2 linked regions of the Tamandua tetradactyla genome follow. The protein of the gene in region 1 purifies or fractionates together with the protein of each later gene. This does not show direct contact. Links are inferred from orthologs where the notes say so. Each region holds a gene or a part of one and is shown on either strand. Other genes may lie near its edges. The genes, in order: BAG5 and DNAJB1.

Region 1 (9,941 bases):
ATTTTAATGTTTGTAACCACCCATTTTAAAAGTTGATTACAAAAGTTGCCTCTATTCCAGATTTTGATGAGAAGAAAAACAGCCCAAAACCAAAATCAAGCCATACCATATCATACAGATAAGGACCAAAATGGCAAAGTTAATGTGCTATAATATTTGTTTTGCAACATCAACAGCAGCAAAGATACTGAATATAATTTGCTTGAATCATAAATACTGAGGTTGAGAAATGCACGTATAAATCATATTTAGGCTCAATGAACTGAAAGCTCTCTATAAATACATAGCAGTGTATATAAAGTGCAAAACAAGCGATATCAGAAGTGAGATGTCTGGCATTTTAGTACTCCCATTCATCGGATTTCAGGTCGAGATAGCTGAGAATGTTCTGCGCGAGCTTCACAGCCTGCTTCCTGGCAGCCTTGCACTTCTCCTCTCCTTGTGGATCAACAGCATCCAGGGCCAGCAGCTGCTTCGTGAGCAGTTCTTCCAATCGAATATAATTCTTATCGGTCCGATTTCCACCAAACGAAAGAACTTCCTCTTGGATCTCTGACAAGTTTCCAAGGACGTCCCAGACTGCTTTGTGTGATGGGTGCTCCTCAGAAACAAATAACTTTCTCTTCTCAAGGGCTTCCTTCAAGTCGATATAAGTTATCAGAGTTTGCACTTCAATCACAGCTCTTCTCCTGGCTTCTCGGATGCAAGGGTTTTTTTCAAGACTTACCTCGTCCAACTGTCCAATCAAACCCTGCAGTTCCATTTTGCAGCTCAGATACAATTCAGAAGGATTCTGTGCTTGAAGAAGTTCATTTTTTATTTCTCTCATTCTCTTGAGGACCTTTTCAATTTTTAAAATGGAATGATTCTGACCCAGGTCAAAAGCATATGTAGTGTCTGCTTCCTCCTCTAAATCCAAATATTTCAATAATTTGTTGATATCTTCTACTACTTCCCTTCGATAATTCCTGATTTCTGTACGCCCGCACACATCTAAAGCATCCAGATCGGCAATCAACCCCGAGAGCACACAGGATAAGTGCCTGCAGGTCTCGTTGCTGTTCACGCCCATCAGAAGTGCAATCAGAGTGCCTCTAGCCTTGTTCACGTCACACATCACAGAGTTAATTTTGGCAACTGACGGATGTACATCTTCTGAAAGTGGCAAGGAAGGCTGCTTCTTCATGCAGTCTTCAATGATCTCTTGCACAGCACAGATTTTGGTTAAAGTGTGATACCTCGCTTTCCGCAATGAGATCTTTCCTCCAGTTTTAACGTGTGTCAGTCTCAAAATGATATCCTGGATGCCTTCTTCGAATTCATCAGTTACACAGTTGCCTCCGCTATAGAATGGCACAATCTTTTCTTTCACCAAGGACTGGGCTTCCTTAAAAATATTCTGTATTTCCACCCGATGTGGGTGGTTTGCATTCTGCTCCAATTCTTTAAGAAGACGCTCAGTCTCCTGTGCCGCCCTCTTTCTAGCTTGCTGAATATCTCCTTTTCCTTCGGTATCTACAGAGTCTATTTCAAAAAGCTGTTTTGTTAGAATTCGCTCTAGTTTCTTGTAATTCTTGTCATCTGACACACCACTGAAGCCAATTACTTGCTGTTCTATACTTTTCACTTCCTTTTGGATTTCCTGAAGCCTACTAATAGAAGGGTGTTGATTTCCCATATCCATACTTTTGTTGCTTTCAGTTTCACAAGCACTAAAAGATGACAAGAATGATAACTTATTACAGCACAAAGTCTCTGCAGAATGGCAATCATATATTAAGTCTAAAATTTTCACTTAAAAATATACTTAGAATAAAAGGGCTTATCATTATTGTAATCCCAAAGACAGACATACTCAAGTACAGAAAGAAGGGTGACACATCAACTCTTTCTCCTGAAAATAACCTACACATGGCAGAGATCATAAACAGCATCACTGTAGTTAGAGCATGAGCTGGAATTCTGTCAGCTTCAAGTTTCTTCAGCTGGAAGAGAACAGCATATGCTCTCCTAGAGAAGTATGGCATCTCCCCCCTCTCTACATGGGACATGACTCCCAGGGGTGTGGACCTTCCCAGCAGTGTGGCACAGAAATCCTAGAATGGGCTGGGACTCAGCACCAAGGGACTGAGAAATCCTTCTGGACTGAAAGGGGGAAGAGAGAAGTAAGACAAAATAAAGTGTCAGTGGCTGACAGATTTCAGAGTCAAGAGGCCCTTTTTAGTTTAATGTGTATTAGAGAGGCCAGAGGGAAGTGCCTGAAACTGTAGAGCTGTGTTCCAGTAGCCACGTTTCTTAAGGATGATCGTATAATGATACAGCTTTCACAATGTGACTGTGTGATTGTGAAAACCTTGTGTCTGATGCTCTTTTTATCTACGGTATGGACAGATGAGTTAAAAATATGAATTAAAAATAAATAAATAATGGGGAACAAATGTTAAAATAAGTTGAGTAGATTGAAATACTAGCGATCAATGAAAGGGAGTAGCAGTAAGGGGTACAGAAAAAAACAGGGGAAACAAAGGTTAAAATATATTGGGTAGATGGAAATACTAGTGGTCAATGAGAGGGAGGGGTAAGAGGTATAGTATGTATGAATTTTTTCTTTTTATTTCTTTTTCTGGAATGATGTAAATGTTCTAAAAAACGATCATGGTGATGAATTCACTACTGTGTGACGATATCGTGAGCCATTGATTGTACACTATATATGGAATGTTTGTATGTTAAGAATGTTCGTATTTGTATGTTGTTTTGGTTTGTCAATAAAAAAAGAATGACGTGAGGGCTAACTATTAGCTTGGAAATAACACAAATATTTTAGGTCTTAAGTTAGGAAGCTATTTTTTGGACACCAGCAGGGCATCTCTGCGGAACATAAAGAATGGGGGAGTAAAACTAGCTTTACTAGCCTTCCAAACACTAATCAATTTCCAGAAAAAGTAACTTTAACCAAGAGGAACGGAGCCACTGGAAACAAGTACCAGAAATTCTCAAACACCCTAAATGTGCCCGTTTCCACATTCCTTTCCGTCCCTTTATGCACTTCTCCAAAGCTACCCGGTTTTTCAAATCCAACCGCACCCTATCTTCCCAGCAGAAAGAAAATCCCGTGGGGAAAGGAAGAGTGAAGGCTCAACCTTGGGCTCTGGCGGATCAGGACTTCCCCAGGCTCTACTACGCGCCCCTCCTAAACAAACAGAAAACAACACAACAAAAAACACCCCGCAGAAACGTGACTCGGCTCCGATGAATTCGCTCGCCTCCCATTAGGGTCCAAAATGGCTTAACCCCTTTTGTGTGTATCCTCGGGTTTCTACCGAACGGCTCACTGAAGAATAATCGATTGAAACCAATTCCGTGTGGGCGTCGGAACCACGCAGGCCTTCCCGACGCCCACGAAGGGCAGCCTGCGTTCCTGCCTCCCTCCTCACCCTTCCCCCTCCGAACTTTACCCAGGAAAGATCTAAGCTGGTTGCGGCCTTGGCTTCCCGTAGGTGAGGTGGCGAGGTGTAAGATCAGCCCTCTACGGGGTGAGGGACCGGAGCTGGGCCCCAAGCTGCATCCCTCTCACCCCGCCCCGCTAGGTCTGAAAGGGGAAGCCGGTGAAGGGGCCGGCGGCGGAGGCGGCAGCTACTGGCCGCAGCGGCCTCTCCGGGCGTCTCGGCCCGGGCCCCAGGACGGGCCGGCCGGCTCTGACCTCACAATGGGCCCGCGCGGAGAGGGGGCAGCGGCGCTCGGAGCCCGGAAGCCCATCCGGGAGGCCCGGCCAGTGCGCAAGGCCGCGCGGAGTACGGCTCCGGGAGCTGGGGCCGGCCCGCGGCGAGCCCCGCGCAGAGAGCAGACCGCGCCCGCCGCCCCGGCCGAGGGAGACGGCGCCGCGTCCCCGCAGGGCTGCGCCACGCTCACCCGTCCGGTCCGCGCCATCGCGACCTCTGCACCTCTGCACCGCCACCCCTGTCGCAGCTCCGCCCCGGGCCGAGCGCCGCCAAGCCCGGGAAAAACGCCCTCTGGCCCCCGCGCCTCACCGCGCCGCGCCCCGCCGCCAGCCGTCAGGCACAGCAGCCCGGAGCCACCCCGGCCACCGAAGAGCCGCCGGGATCCAGCAGCGCGACCCCGCAGCCCCGCTGTCCACTCGACCCCTCACACCGCGGGGAAGCGCTCAGTCGGCCGCGCTCCGCCCCCCGCCTCCGGCTTTGCGATCCTGCCGTAAGGCAGCTTCCTCGCCGTCGCGCCGCTGTCGTGCGCCGCGGGAGCCGTGTACGCGGGGCAATGGGGGCCCTAAGGCCCCCGAGGAAGACTTCCCTTCCTCTTCTGTTCCGCACTTTGGCGGGTCCCGGCCGCCAGCCGGCCCTTGAGCGCGGCGCCGAGCGCAGGGATGCGGCGCCGAGCCGAGTAAGCGGGGAGCACGGAGAGGTTAGGTCGGGAGGGGTGACCGCAAGAGGTGAGGAGCCGGTCTGTGCCCTGAGGCCCGCTCCTCGACCCCTCACACCCGCGTGGACCCCTGCGGAGAGGACTGAGGCCCTCGGGAGCAGGGTCCCCCAGCCGGCCCGGGGCTGGTGCAGAGCAGCACGCGCGACCGAGTGGGTCGGGGGCATGGAGAATGGGGAGGTCCTGGGCGAGGGGCGCCGGGACCCCCATCCGGATTAGGTCAGTAGCTGCGAAAGTTCCTGCGTCCCCTCCTTGGTCTAGATGAATCTGAGTATGCCGGCCACCTCCATGGGGGAAAGCTGACTGCGCTTTTGTTAGTCTAAGGTAGTCAGCAAGTTTGGACGCACCTGTTTTATTCTCGAGGGTATTTATATTGTATATTTGAAGAGCTCTTGGTGTGGTCAGCGGGTAACTTTTCGTTCTCGTGCCTTGACTCCGTTAAGATAATTAGTGCTTTTTTCCCAGCGATGGCGAGCTTTATCATCCAACTTTTGTAGGGCTTCACTTTGAATCGTTATTCTTATTTGGAAGCTCTATGGGCATATATACACTTGACTGCCCAAAGATCCACGAAGTATGTCTATAGCAAGAGAGGCAAGCAGCTTTCATAAATTGCACTTTTGTTGTGAAGTATATTTGGTTTAAAGGAGGCGGAGGCCTTGATTGCAGCTGTCAGATGAAAATGTTGACTAATGGTGTGGAATGGGCTGCAGATAAAATATTTAAACAAATCAAACAAATACTAACACATTATTTAGCAAGGGGTTAATGTGGGGAGCTGGAAAGCTTGATAGGAACAATAATTAAAGGATGAAAAAAAAGTTAAGAATTCCAAAACGTGCGTGCCTTTTAAATGTTCATTTCTATTGCTCTGTGGCTTTTAGCACACTTTTATAAATGCCGGTTTTGAACTTCTGTCCTGGCTTACAGTTTAGGCAAGGCCTTACGCTGGCAGGTAGTTAACCAGACCACAGCCCTGGCTCTATCCTATGACACAGAAATTTACCCAGCACCTTATTTCCTTGAACAGAAAGATAAAACAGGTATCTTGAAAATCCTCTCGGAAGGCAAACTAGAAATCAACCGAGAACTTTGCCCATGGCGAGGACTTACCTAGGCTGCTTGATGAACTAGGAGTCCTGGAAAACAGAAGAAGGACGCACAAGCCAGGATTTCTCTGTTGTCATAAAGGCCTTTCCTTCAAGTGAGATAAGTCTTACCCTGGGTCTGATACTCAGGGTGAGGCCTCTCTCTGCCTTTTGTAGTCTCAGTGACTTACAGCAAGCCCTGTGTGGGCACCTGCTGGCTTCCCTAAACCTGCTGAAGGTGACGATTGTGACGATGGTGCTGACCAGATAAAAAGTGGAGTGGCTGGCCAGTGAGTCAGGTCTTGCCCAAATCTAGCATGGTGACTTGTGTTGTTTTTCTTAGAACTTGAGTTCCCTATTAGCTAGATATTGTATGCAACATAAAAGAACAGTTTTTGCTTAGGGCGATTTGTATTTCCTATGTGTTATCGTCTTTGTATGGCTCCTGAGAGCACAGCAGTTTCTCCAGGTAATGACATACCTGCAGCTGAGAGAGATTGCTGTCTTTCAGTCTAGAAATTTAAATGTATCTTGTTAAAAGTAACAGGTTGTGAATCTTGTTTTCTTTATCTAGTTGTTACCTTTTAATCCTTCCTGTCTAGCAAGCCATATTTTTTTTTTTTTTTTTTTTAATACATGGGCAGGCACCGGGAATCAAACCTGGGTCCTCTGGCATTCCAGGCAAGTGTTCTTGCCTGCTGAGCCACCGTGGCCTGCCCCAGCCATATTTTTTTGTTTGTTTGTTTTTGACTTTCTATTTTGAAATACTTTCCAACTTACAAGTCAGTTACAAAAATAATAAAAAATACCCCAAAATATCCCTCCCTCCTCCTAGATACCCACATCCCACTATTTTAACATTTTGCTACATTTGTTGTATCATCCTTTATCTATCTATCTATCTATCTATCTATCTATCTATCTATCTATCTATCTATCTGTCTATCTATCATCATCATCATCTATCTGTCTGTCTATTTATCAATCCATTTCCGGAACACCTGAGTGTAGGTCATATAATTTAAACTTGAACACTGAAAATTGCCTTTTTACTTTTCCTAAAATCAAGGATATTCACTTATTTGACCACTTGAGTACAGCTGTCAAGTTCAAGAAAGTTAACATTGACATAAAGCTTATAGTCTATATTCCGATTTTTATTATATCCCAATAATGTCTTTTTTTATTAATTAAAAAAAATTAACAAACAAAAACATTTAGATACCATTCCATTCTACATATACAATCAGTAATTCTTAATATCATCACATAGTTGCATATTCATCATTTCTTAGTACATTTGCATCGATTTAGAAAAAAAATAAAAAGACAACAGAAAAAGAAATAAAATGATAATAGAGAAAAAAAAGACTATACATACCATTCCCTTTACCCCTCGCTTTCATTTACCACTCTTTCAAACTGAATTTATTTTAACATTTGTTCCCCCATTCTTTATTTTTATTCCATATGTTCTACTCTTCTGTTGATATAGTAGCTAAAAGGAGCATCAGACATAAGGTTTTCACATTCACAGTCTCATTGTGAAAGCTATATCATTGTTCAATCATCATCAAGAAACATGGCTACTGGAACACAGCTCTACATTTTCAGGCAGTTCCCTCCAGCCGCTCCACTACATCTTGAACAACAAGGTGATATCTACTTAATGCATAAGAATAACCTCCAGGATAACCTCTCGACTCTGTTTGGAATCTCTCAGCCATTGACACTTAGTCTCATTTCACTCTTCCCCCTTTGGTTGAGAAGTTTCTCTCAATCCCTTGATGTTAATTCTCAGCTCATTCTAGGGTTTTTCTCAGTCCTTTGATGCTGAGTCTCAGCTCATTCCAGGATCTCTGTCCCACGTTGCCAGGAAGGTCGACACCCCTGGGAGTAATGTCCCACGCAGAGAGGGGGAGCGTGATGAGACTGCTTGTCATGTTGGCTGGAGAGAGGGGCCACATCTGAGCAACAAAAGAGGCTCTCTTGGGGGTAACTCTTAGGCCTAAATTTTAAGTAGAATTGACCTATCCTTTGTGGGGTTAAGTTTCATGTGAACAAACCCAAGGACTGGGGGCTCAGCCTATAGCTTTGGTTGTCCACACTGTTTGTGAGAATATCTCTTAGGGAAGTTGAATTTCTCCCAACTCTCACCATTCCCCGAAGGGGGAGCAAGCCATATTTTTTATTAGTTCTTGGCTTTGCCCTCACTTTTTTAGTTAAGGAGTCCTGTGTTCCCATCTGGGACCTCTGGACACCAGGTTTTAAGAGAAAAATATAGAATTTAGAGTTAGGCACTGTTCTTCCTTCCAACCCCATATTAAAACTCACCTCTTAAGTGTCAGTAGTCACTTCCTGCCTGCTTGTACCATGTATGCTGCTGTGGTTTTTATCATTGGTTCCTAAACTAGTCTTGCATTAGAATCACCTGGAATGCATTTTCCTTTATTTTAAAGAAATTGTAGGTTTACAGGAAAACCATGCATAAAGTACAGAGTTCCAAAATAACCTGGAAGGCTTTAAAATAAATATTGAGGCCCATTCCGGTGATTCTGACTTGACTGAGCCTAGGGTATGGCCTGGATGTCAGGATTTTTAAGAGTGTGTCTCATAAGCTGCCAAGTATGAGAATCATTAATGTTTGCTTGTAGTCCTGAATTTTATTAACATTTTTAGGCATAGTTAACATTTTTTGACTGTATATTAACATTTAGCATTAAAAGTGTATTAACATCTGGGAGGCCACGGTGGCTCAACAGGGCGAGTTCCCTCCTGCCATACCGGACACCTGGGTTTGATTCCTCGTGCCTGCCCATGCAAAAAAAAAAAGTATATCAACTTTTTTATTTTGCTACTTTTTCATTAAGGAGAATGATCTTCAAACCCCAAAGTATGGATTCAGAATAAACATCGTAAGGAAGAAGTTAAAACTGAGGTAAATGAGAACCTGGTGAGAGGTTTTGGGCATGGAATTTTCAAGTCTAACATGGATATTTTTAGTATTTAAATGGCTTTCAATAAATAGTTGCTAAAACAAAAACTGGGGCAGGAGGAACCTTTAAAAAGCTTGTAGTTTATTTTATAGATGAGGCAGTTGGGGCCCAGAGAAGTGCAGTGGTTTGCCTGGTGTTGTACAGCATAGTCAGGACTGAAACCTTGGTTTTTGACTCCCAGGCCAGTAATCTAATTTTATCAAATGCTTTTTCTTCATCTACTAAAATGATTATCTGATTTTTCTCTTTATTTTGGTAATGTGGAGAATTGTATTGATTTTCTTTTTCTTTTTTTGTTATTTTTTGATTGTGGAAAATTTCAAACATATACGAAGGGTGACAGAAGAATGTCATGAATCACTAAGTATCCATTTCCCTGCTTCAGCAATTATCCATGCTGTTTATTTCATTTTTACCTCCATCCATTCCCTCCCTGTTCCTTATTATTTATTATTTATTTTTTGGCAAATATAAAAAAATCACATTTCATCTGTATTTGACTGTATATCTTTAAAAGATTCAGACAAAAAAACGTAAACACTATACCTTTTCACACTTGGAAACATTATAATTCCTTAATTTCATCAGATAGTATAATCAGTGCTCAGATCTCTTCTACTGTCTTAGAAATGTCGTATTTTCTTTCACAGTTTGTGTCAGGATCCAAATACAACCTACACATTGTCATTGATATTTTTGATCTCCTTAATTTGTAGTTCTAACTTTATTTCTCCTGCCCTTTTTAAGCAGTTTGTTTAAAGAAAAGATTATATGTCCGCGAGAATTTCCCAGTCTGGACTATATCCCCAATGGTGTAATTTTACGTGCTTCTCTGCTCTTCAGAATTTCCTGGGAATTGACAGCTGCATGCTAGCGCTTACAGGAGCCTTCCCCACATTCAGGTTTAATGTCACTTTTGTTTTTCTTTTGAAAGACTACTTCATTGGTGGTGTGTTTTTTCATCCATTCATTTTCTATTAAACTAACTTTGCACTCCTAGTATAAACCCAACGTGGTCCTGAACTACTGTCCTTTTTTTAAAAAATATTTTTATTGGTAAAATAACATATAAATATAAACATTCCTAACATAAAACATTCTATACATGGTGTACAATCAGTGGCTCACTATATCATCACATAGTTGTGTATTCATCACCATGTTTTTTAGAACATTTGTATCACTTCAGAAAAAGAAAAAAGAAAAAAACTCATACATCCATACCCCTTACCTCGCCCTCTCATTAACCTCTAGTATTTCTATCTCCCCAATGTATTTTAACCTTTGTTCCCCCTATTTGTTTATTTCTTTTATCCATATTTTGTATTCATCTGACCATACCCCTGACAAAGGGAGGATCAGACACAAGGTTTTCACAACCACACAGTCACATGTAAACGTTATATCTTCATACAATCATCTT
Region 2 (9,419 bases), on another chromosome or scaffold:
GCCCCCCCCCCCCCCCCCCAAATAAAAAGAACCAAAGCAACTCTGAATCCACTGCATTCTGGTTTCTTTGGATGTCTGCATCTAGAGTCTGGGCAGGTTGTTTACTCACTCACCCCAGGCCCAGGAGACTTGAGCCCATGCAGAGATCCCTATTACCCCATCCCCTGCCCTCCCACCCATCCCTGAGCCAGCAGAGCCCTCAAACAGAGTCACAAGACTGCTCCCCTGAGGTTAGCATCAGTCTTTAATGCCGTCTGTCTAGCCGCACATTGACAGGTCACATGCTTTGGTCTTGTCGGCAGTGGCAACTTTACAACGAATCTGAAGGGCTGAGCACCAGACTGGCCTCTGGCGAACAGACACTTCTTCCAACACCCCCTTCCCCCAAGATTTCATCCAAATTCCAACCTGGCCCTATACAGAGCAGGACCCGTAGAGGACTGGCTTCGTTTGTGTGCACATTAACTTTATATGGAATTATAAAAACATATTTACAGGCGATCCACTGTGCTCCTGTAATCAGAAGCAAACACCCTTTTATCAAAAGGGATTATAACTAGGGCTGTGCAAAATTCAAAAGGATCAGATCCCTTTGAAAGAATCCCGAGTCCATTAGTTCAGAAGGAAACAAAAACTGATCAGGGCTTCTGTTAATGCTCCAGGTATGCCAGGAGATTGCCTTACAGGAAAAGAAAGGGTGTGAGCTGTGAATGAACACGCTCAGCCTCACCAGAGCTGGGGTCCCAGGGCCTCTTCCACCCTCCGGCCAGAACCCCAGACCCCAGCAGCAGAGGCTGTCTGCACGACTCACTCACTTGAGGCCAGCTCCCTTGGTCCCGCTGGAAGGAGATATTGCTTGTGAGTGCCGGCCAGGCAGTACTGTAGAAATAATCTAGGTTCTCAATTTGAGATGACAGAAGAGAAGACAGCATTCTCCAGGGGAACAGCAAGACATTGAAGATAAATACAGAATAAAACACGGACTGATCACATAACGGAATGGGAAGAGTATACGGTCTGGTAACTAAGGTGGCAGGCTGGACCCAACCCCAACAGCTGCAAGCAAAAGGACTACAGAGGATCAAGTCCAGCTGTGGGTTTGCCTCTCGCCCCACCTGTAGGCTGAGGAGGGGTGGGGGGCTCACACCGGCAGGGGCTGCAGGACCCAGGGGGGCCAACCAGGTGCCTTTTCCTGCACTCCCCACCACCTACCACCCTATCTTTTGAAAAACCACTTAAGTCTAGCACACAACTTTGAAAGATTGTAATATATTCTCTGGAAAACATTCAGCAGTATGAAAGCCCTCCCTGGGCCACCCCGCCCTCTCATGGGCCCACAACTGGTAGAACGGTCCAGAAAGCCTCACGCTCCAGAAAGGTCCCTGGTCAGTCCTTGGGGAGTGCAGGTGACTATATAGGAAGAACCTGCTCCAGTACGGTTCTTGACGTCTGGGGAATCCTTTCAGGGAAGATGACTTCAAATTCAATAATGAGGTCCCCGCGTTTCTCAGGTGTTTTGGGCAGGGGGAGGCCTTCTCCAGGAACTTTTCGCCTCATGCCGGGCCTGATGACATCTTTGAAAACGACGGGTTTGGTCCTGCCGTCCAAGGTGGGGACGTTCACCGTGCAGCCACACAGAGCCTTGGGAAGCAAATGGACAACATTAGATGGAGGATGGCTTAGGAAGCACTACTCCTGCCCAGAAGTTTGGAGACAGGTGAGATCCATCAGACCCCTGCAGCTGGGACCCTGCCTCCAAATCTACTCAGATCACTGGGACAAAACTCTGAAAGAGCCCTAGTCAGTCTGGTTCACTGCCATATCCCCTGAGGCCGGCACACACTAAGCCCTTACAACTATTTGTTGAGGAAATACTGCCTGCTTCAAAGAATAGCCCTGTCCACCGCAGACACTGTGCCACCTAGCACCTTACCTCCCGAAGGCTGATCCTGGCTGGGTAAACGACATCAGAGCCATCTCTCTTAAAGATATTGTGTGGCTTGTCCTTTAAAACAAAGACAATGTCGGCTGGAATGTTGTTGGAGGTCTGGTCTCCTTCCTTGGGGAAGGTGATTTTGGTCCCTTCTTTCCACCCTCTCTTCACTTCAATGGTTAAGATCTTGTCTTCGTTGCGAATGCTCTTTCCGTCAGGGTTCAGTCGCTTGTGGGAGATTTTCATTTTCTTGGTACAGCCGCTATAGATCTCTTCAAGCGAGACCCGGAGGTCGTGGGTGACAGGAGGATCCTGTTTCTTCCTGGAGGGCTCCTGGGAGGGGCGGGAGCGGCCAAAGTTCACGCTGGTGAAGCTACCCATGCCCATGGGGAAGCCGGAGAATGGGTCGTCGATGTCCATGCCTTCCTCTCCGTTCCGCTGGCTGAAAAAGTTGTCAAAGGGATTTCGACCACCAAAGATCTCCGCAAACATGGCATGGGGGTCTCCGTGGAACGTGTAGCTGAAAGAGGTACCATTAGCACCACCGCTGCTCCCACCACTGGGACCACCGCCTTTCAGGCCTGAAAAGCAAAACCGGAAGTTGTCAGGCAGCTAGCCAGAACTTCTCTGGAAAGGTTTACATAAGAGAAAAGAACTTGGGAACCCTCCGAAGACAAATTCTGTGGGATCTGTTAAGAAAAGCAAGGAAGAAGCCGAAGCCTCTGCAGCACCAGATGAGACTGACAGTGGATACCAGCCTAAGCCCCGGGTTGGGCATCCCTCGGTGCCACTCAGGCTAGGCCATCTCTTGGCTGGTTCATCCTCCCCACCAACGTTATTTCAAGGATTTACCAGAAACCAGATGCAAAGGCCGGAGTCAGTATAAGCCCTCCCTGTTTGCTCTTGACATCTTCCGGCTAGTGGTGTGCATGGGAAGAGTAGAAAAAAATAAGAAATAAACTGACGTTTTCAAGTTGTCACCATCCTGTACCAACATTAGCTGCCACCATCTTACACAAAGTCGGCTCATTTCTTGAGCCCAAAAGCCAGGGTGAGTCACCAAGGGGCAAGTGGACAACAGGAAAATCTCTTTCTCTTCCCCCTGAGGAGGGCCATCCTAGCCCGCCTCTCCTACGTGCCGGGCCCGGTGAACACCGCAGTCGCCCGCGGGGGGCGGGGGGGGGGCGATAGGCGCCCCCTCCCCGCAGGTCGTGCCCTATGCGGGCCGCGGGCCCAGGTGCGCCCAGGTGAAGCCAGGTGCACCCGGGACCGTGGGCGGCGGCGCCCAGGGAGGAGTAGCCCGGGCTTGCTAGAAGCTTCTGGGCGAGCAGCGCAGCCAGGGCTCCTCCTCCCAGGGCGGGGACCCCGCGGGCAGGCGGCGGCGGCAGCTCCCCGGGCAGGCTGGGATCGCCCCCCAAGCCTCGGTTTCCCCGCCTGTCAAACGGCGGAGGCGCGCCTCGGCCGCACGCACACACCTTCCTCCCCGTAGCGGTCGAAGATGTCGCGCTTGCGCGGGTCGCTGAGCACGTCGTAGGCCTCGGCGATCTCCTTGAACTTCTCCTCGGCGCCGGGCTCCTTGTTCTTATCCGGGTGGTAGCGCAGCGCCTGGCGGCGATAGGCCCGCTTGATCTCCTCGTCCGACGCGCCGCGGGCCAGGCCCAGCGTCTGGTAGTAGTCCTTGCCCATAGCCCCCGTCTGCGGCCCGCCGCCCCGCTTTTGCCGCGCCCCGGCTCCGCCGCCGCCGCCCGCTCCCAGACTGTATATACCCGCCCGGCGGAAGCTTCCAGAGCCCGCCAGCCCCCTCCAGAACCTTCCGCCCCGCCCCCCGCACTGCGCCGGCCAATCGCCGCCGCCCGCCCCGCGACGCGCGACGTCCGGGGCGGGGCTGTGCCGCCAACGGCCGACGGCGCGCGGCCCCGCCCCTCCCGCCAGCAGCCTCGGCAACGCCTCGCTGCGGCGCGTCCTCCCCCCCGGCTGGAGGCGGCCCCGCCCAGCTCTCCCCCGGGAGAGCCAATCGGGGTTTGCTTCCGCCCCGCCCGCCGGCTAGGCTGGCCGCGAGCCCCGCCCTCTGCGCGACTCCGCGAGTGATGACGCGCTCCCACCCTACGACCGGCCGCCCTCGCCGGGAAGGGGCGGGACTAGCTGTGGGCCCGCCCTCCGAATATGTTCCGCCGGGTCCCCAGGAGCTGTTTAATCCGCCGGCCCGCCAAATCCCAGGGCCCCGCCGGGTGGCTCAGGGGGAGTGGCAGTGCCTCTCCTTTCCCCAGCCCCACCCCCCAGCCCCACCCCGCCCCCTGTAATATGGGCATAAAAAATACCCCTGACCTCACCATACAGGTGATGCAAAGGTCACCTTTCCGGAGAAGTGTTCCAGTCCCTTCCCTCCTACATTTTGCTTTGACCGATATCTCAAAAGCACCTGCCACTGAAATCTGAAATAATCTGGCCCCTTGGCTTTCATCCTGACCCCCCCCACACAAACCCCGGGGCCTGTGGCCTCTGCCAGGGCAGGGACCTGGTCCGGTCTCCACTGGGACCCGGTGCCTGGGACAAAATCTGGCCAGCTGTGCACCTTTCATAAATATTCCTGGTTGCTCGGACGCAGCTGCTTCTTTTTCTCTCCCCACTACCTTTTTGATTTGGGGGATGGACACAGCTCTCAGTGCTTCCATTTGCTCATGTGTGGAACAGTCTGAGTTTGGCGTGCCCCTGACCAAGGACAGAATTGATGAGGAAAAGCGGTGCGGAAAGAGGCGTAGGGAAGAAGGGCCAGGGTGAACGGCGGTTCTGGAGGACAGCCCAGGAGGCCAGCGCTCTAGAGCCTCTGGAGCCAGAAGGTGGAGTCTGATTCCCAGTTCCAGCACTTCCTGGCTGCGTGAGTTTCGGCTGGGTCCTTGACTGTTCTCAGCCTCAGTTGTGCCATCTGTACAATGGGATAACTGTTGTATCTTTTGTTCTGAAGTTTACAAGAGTTGACATTTGTCAAGTGCTGAGGACAGCTGTGAAAAGGGTGAATTACCAGTTTGTTCAGTGGTGGGCTGCTGAGCCACCCCGTTCCTGGGCAGCATCACAGCAAAACCTCTGGTGACTGCTTGCCTGCTCTGGTGCAGGCTGAGATTTCCAAGAAAGAAAACCCAGCAGCCTTCTCCTGGTGCCTGGACCTCCCTGCCCACTCACTGACCCCAAGAAAACCCTGTCAGCAAAGACTTTGGACTAGGACAGGGCAAGGGTCCTGAACCAGTTATAAGGGAGAGAGAATTTGATACTTAAAAAGTTGTGTGAATATTGATTGGAGAGGCTATTCTGGGGGCTATTCTTATGCAAGCTTCAGTGAAATATTGCTATTTACCTAGGTTTGCCAAACCCCAACCAAAACCATTCCTGCCAACCTTAAAGAACTTTATCTGAGCTTCTACAGAGGTTCCATGCACTCGAGTAACTTTCCTGAAACCTATAACCTCCAGATGGGCTCCTAGGCCAGATAAGTCCTGAAACCCAGAGGGGCCAGCCTCTCCAAGAACATCAACTAGTTCCATTCCCTTATCCTATACTGCTGATAGCCCTTTCCAACATGAAAAAGCTAGAATGGGCATAGCCCAAATACCCCTAAAGATTGGCAGAAGCATCAAAGGAGAAGGAGGAGTTATAACAGAGAAGACAGGATTTAACAAATGAGTATGATTGCTGAATGGTTATATTGGTATTTCTTTTAATCTCCAGTGTCTTGGAACAGCTAGAAGGAAAAACCTAAAATTGTGAAACTGTAACCCAAAGCAATAATTGAAATCTGTTCTATTTGTTCCATTGTACTATGAAATTTATTGCTTTTTGGTATATGTTATATTTCATAATAAAAAAATGTTTAAAAAAAGTTATGTAAACAAATAATAGCTGAATAGGAGGCGAGTCACCATCGTGGGGGAACAAAACAGAGCTTTATGGACTTCCTTACACTCTAGGATTTTATAGTGTGACGTAATTGGGAGTTACAAATGTGGCAGTGACATCTTTTTGCTGATGTTTTGGCCTCCATAGGTCTTAGCCAGGACTTAACTTGGCTCTGGTTTTACAAATGGTTCTTTCCAGACCCGAGGGCAAGGAAACGCTGGGCCACGGGTCACTCCCTTCCTCCTGAAACAAGCCAGGGACACGTTTTAGAAGTTTTTTTTTTTTTTAAAAAAAACAAAGCTCTCCTTTGACCTAGGCAAATGAGTGGTCATTTCAGAATAGTACAGGGAAAGTGGCCTCCGTGGAAACCTCAGCCAATCTTGGGCTCTCTGAGAAGCTAAGAGGGCAGGGCTGAGGTCAGCCTGCCACTGTGCAAATCCTGGACCCATTGTTTATGCTTCTTTACTGACTCATTGATCTTACACAACTTGCTTGATCTTTTGGAGCTTCAGGTCACTCCTCTGTAAAATGGGAATAAGGGAGGACGGTCCCTGCTGAGGTTGCTAGGTGGACCATGTGAGAGAGGCCGGGTAATTAATATTTTAATGACAGCTGCTGCTGACCTGGCTGTGCTTTGTGCCAGGCGTGTTCATGCATGAATTCATTTAAGCTGCCGGACAGCCTCTGAAGTGGAACTAGTGTTACCTCCATTTTACAGGTGGAAAACTGAGGCCCTGAATGGTTACATGACTTGTCTAAGGTTACCCATTCAGTAAAGTGCTGAAGCGTAGCAGGCTTGGCATACTTAAGTAGTATGTAATGCAGGTGATAATAGAGCTTTAATTAAAAAAAAATAGCCTTACAAGTGCATCAACTGTTCACCTGTACATCCAAAGACTTTCAAGAGCAAGCCGGCCGTATGATCTGGAAATCCCACTCCCGTGAAACACCTGAGTGAAATGAAGTCTGTTCATATCCGCCGTGGGTGCTCACTGTGGTTTTGTCTATAATCACCAAAAGGAAATAACCGGAATGTCCTCCAATGAGTTAGTGGATAAACGAATGTGATCTGTATGTATGAAGGAATACTACTCTGCTATAAAAAAGAACTGGTGACTGCTACATGAAACAATGCAGACAAACCTCAAATGCATTGTGTTTAGTGAAAGAAGCCAGACTCAAAAATCCATCTACGAGAATAAAAAAGTATTTGCAAAGCCCCCTGGAGGAACTGGGGAGAAAGGAGGAAATCTTAAACTTCCCCTCCTGGGGAATTCCTGATATTCTCGCAAGCAGTGGGGACAACCAATTTAATAGGCCGAGCCCTTGATCTTGGGGTTTGCCCCTATGAAACTTATTGCCTCAAAGGAGAAGCTAAAGCCTACTTATAATAATGCCTAAGAGTCATCCCCAGAGAACCTCTTTCGTTACTCAGATGGGGCCTCTCTCTCTAAGCCAACTCAGTAGGTGAACTCACTGCCCTCTGCCTTATGTGGGACATGACTCCCAGGGGTGTAAATCTCCCTGGCAGTGTGTGAAAGAACTCCTGGGATGAGCTGGGACTGGCATCACAGGATTGAGAAAGTTTTCTTGATCAAAAGGGGAAGAGAGAAATGAGAAAAAATAAAGTGTCAGTGGCTGAGAGATTTTAAACAGAGTTGAGAAGCTATCCTTGAGGTTATTCTTATGCATTATATAGATATCCTTTTTTAGTGTATGGTGTATTAGAGTGGCTGGAGGGAATTACCTGAAACCGTTGAACTGTATTTCATATTCCAGTAGCCTTGATTCTTGAAGATGATTATATAACTATATAGCTTTTACACTGTGACCGTGTGATTGCGAAAACCTTGTGGTTGATGCTCCCTTTATCCAGGGTATGGACAGAGGAGTGAAAAAAAACAAGACAAAAAAATAAATAATAAGGGAGACAAAGGGTAAAAAAAAAAAAGGGTAGATTGCAATACTAGTGGTCAATGAGAAGGGGTATGGGATGTATGGGTTTTTCTCATTCCTTTTTATTTCTTTTTCTGGAGTGATGCAAATGTTCTAAAATTGATCATGGTGATGGATACACAATTATGTGATGATATTGTGAGCCACTGATTATATACTTTGGATGGACTGTGTGATGTGTAAAGATATCAATAAAAAATAGTTTAAAAAACAAACAAACATGCTGCCTGATGTATGATTCCATTCATAGGAACTTTTGGAAAAGGCAAAACTATAGCTACTGAAAGCAGGCCAGTGGTTACCAGGGCTGTGGCTGGTTATAAAGGGGCATGAGGGAATCTTTTGGGGTGGTGGAAATATGTTTCTATAGCTTGCTTGTGGTAGAAGTTATGTGATTGTGTATGTTCAGAACTATACACTGATCTGGGTGAATTTTGCTGTATGTAAATTATACCTCAATGAAAAAAACCAAAGAAACATATTCACAATAGCCCAAAGGTGCAAGGAACTCAAATGTCCATTGCAGATGAATGGATCGACAAAATGTGATGTTTATGTACCATGGGATATTATTTGGCCATAAAAAGGAGTGAATTTCTGACGTGTGACAACACGGATAAATCTTGAAGATGCCATGTTGAGTGAAATAAGCCAGACACAGAAGGAATAATATTACATGATTTTGCTTACAGGAAATGTCTAGAATAAGAATAAGCCAATTTGTAGAGCAAGAAAGTAGATGAGATGCCTGATGGGGAGAGCAAGGAAATGAGGAGTTATTGCTTAATAGGCACAGAGTTCTTATTTGGGTGATGAAAGGTTTTGGTAATGGATGTATTATAACTTTGTGGATGTAGTAAATGCCACTGAACTGTAGTCTTAAAAGTGGTTAAAATGGGAAACTTTGTGTTATATATGTGTTACTGCAATAAAAATTTAAAAGGATGGAGGGAAAAAACCACACATACACAAATATCCTCTGGATTTAAAAAGAAGGGAAGCCAGGAGAGGGCCTGGGAAACCTCTCTCCCAGGTCCCTGACATGATAGAAAATTGCTAACCAGCCTTGGCTTGTCGGCTCTTGTCTTCTTCAGACAACCCTGCCCAGGAGGATCACGTACCCGGAGACATAAGCCACGCCAGGTTTCGGGAAAATCAAAACGATACTTTACTAGCACTTGGGAAATACAAAAGGGGCTTGTGAGACACACACTAACAAACCCACCAGCTCTTTGATGTCCAAATGACGGTGGGTTGGCCCTGCTCAACCTTCAAAACTGCCCCAGTGCAGGTCCCCTCTGGAGTTTCCCCTTTAGAGGTGGCTTTAAACGGGCTTGCCAGCAACCACCAAATATATCCGTCGGTCGCTGTGCTGGGGATGCTGAGGACATGGAAACATTCATCCCAGCTACTGTACCCATCCCAGTACCATCCCAGCCACCGTACAGCACCATGGGTGACTCGAGCAAAGCAGCCAGCCTTAGTTCAGAGGATATTTCTGCAGTCAGCCTGGTCACTGGAACGAGGGGAGGAGAATGAGGGCCCCCCCTAGCCTGCACTGTCGGTCAAACACGAGGAGGAATTCTACTTTCTAGGTCTAGATTCTGAAGGTGGGGCTCATAAAGACACCCTCAAAGGGGAA

What was found.
Region 2: the proteins of BAG5 (region 1) and DNAJB1 purify together in Homo sapiens (affinity purification with mass spectrometry; 3 studies listed by BioGRID and IntAct, with this or other methods). This does not show direct contact. The link is inferred for Tamandua tetradactyla from reciprocal best matches to the Homo sapiens genes BAG5 and DNAJB1.

What each region holds. Positions count from the first base shown.
Region 1 is NC_135340.1:89,303,239-89,313,179, reverse strand, and holds the start of BAG5 (BAG family molecular chaperone regulator 5), read right to left. Parts: upstream 4,034-9,941; 5' UTR 3,913-4,033; intron 3,779-3,912; exon of another isoform or gene 3,459-3,778; intron 1,713-3,458; 5' UTR 1,685-1,712; coding exon 341-1,684; 3' UTR 1-340. Other genes in the region: COA8 (cytochrome c oxidase assembly factor 8), read left to right, coding at 4,276-4,398. UniProt on the Homo sapiens protein: Co-chaperone for HSP/HSP70 proteins. It functions as a nucleotide-exchange factor promoting the release of ADP from HSP70, thereby activating HSP70-mediated protein refolding.
Region 2 is NC_135337.1:88,455,551-88,464,969, reverse strand, and holds DNAJB1 (dnaJ homolog subfamily B member 1), read right to left. Parts: upstream 3,714-9,419; 5' UTR 3,620-3,713; coding exon 3,409-3,619; intron 2,515-3,408; coding exon 1,934-2,514; intron 1,642-1,933; coding exon 1,411-1,641; 3' UTR 227-1,410; downstream 1-226. UniProt on the Homo sapiens protein: Interacts with HSP70 and can stimulate its ATPase activity. Stimulates the association between HSC70 and HIP. Negatively regulates heat shock-induced HSF1 transcriptional activity during the attenuation and recovery phase period of the heat shock response.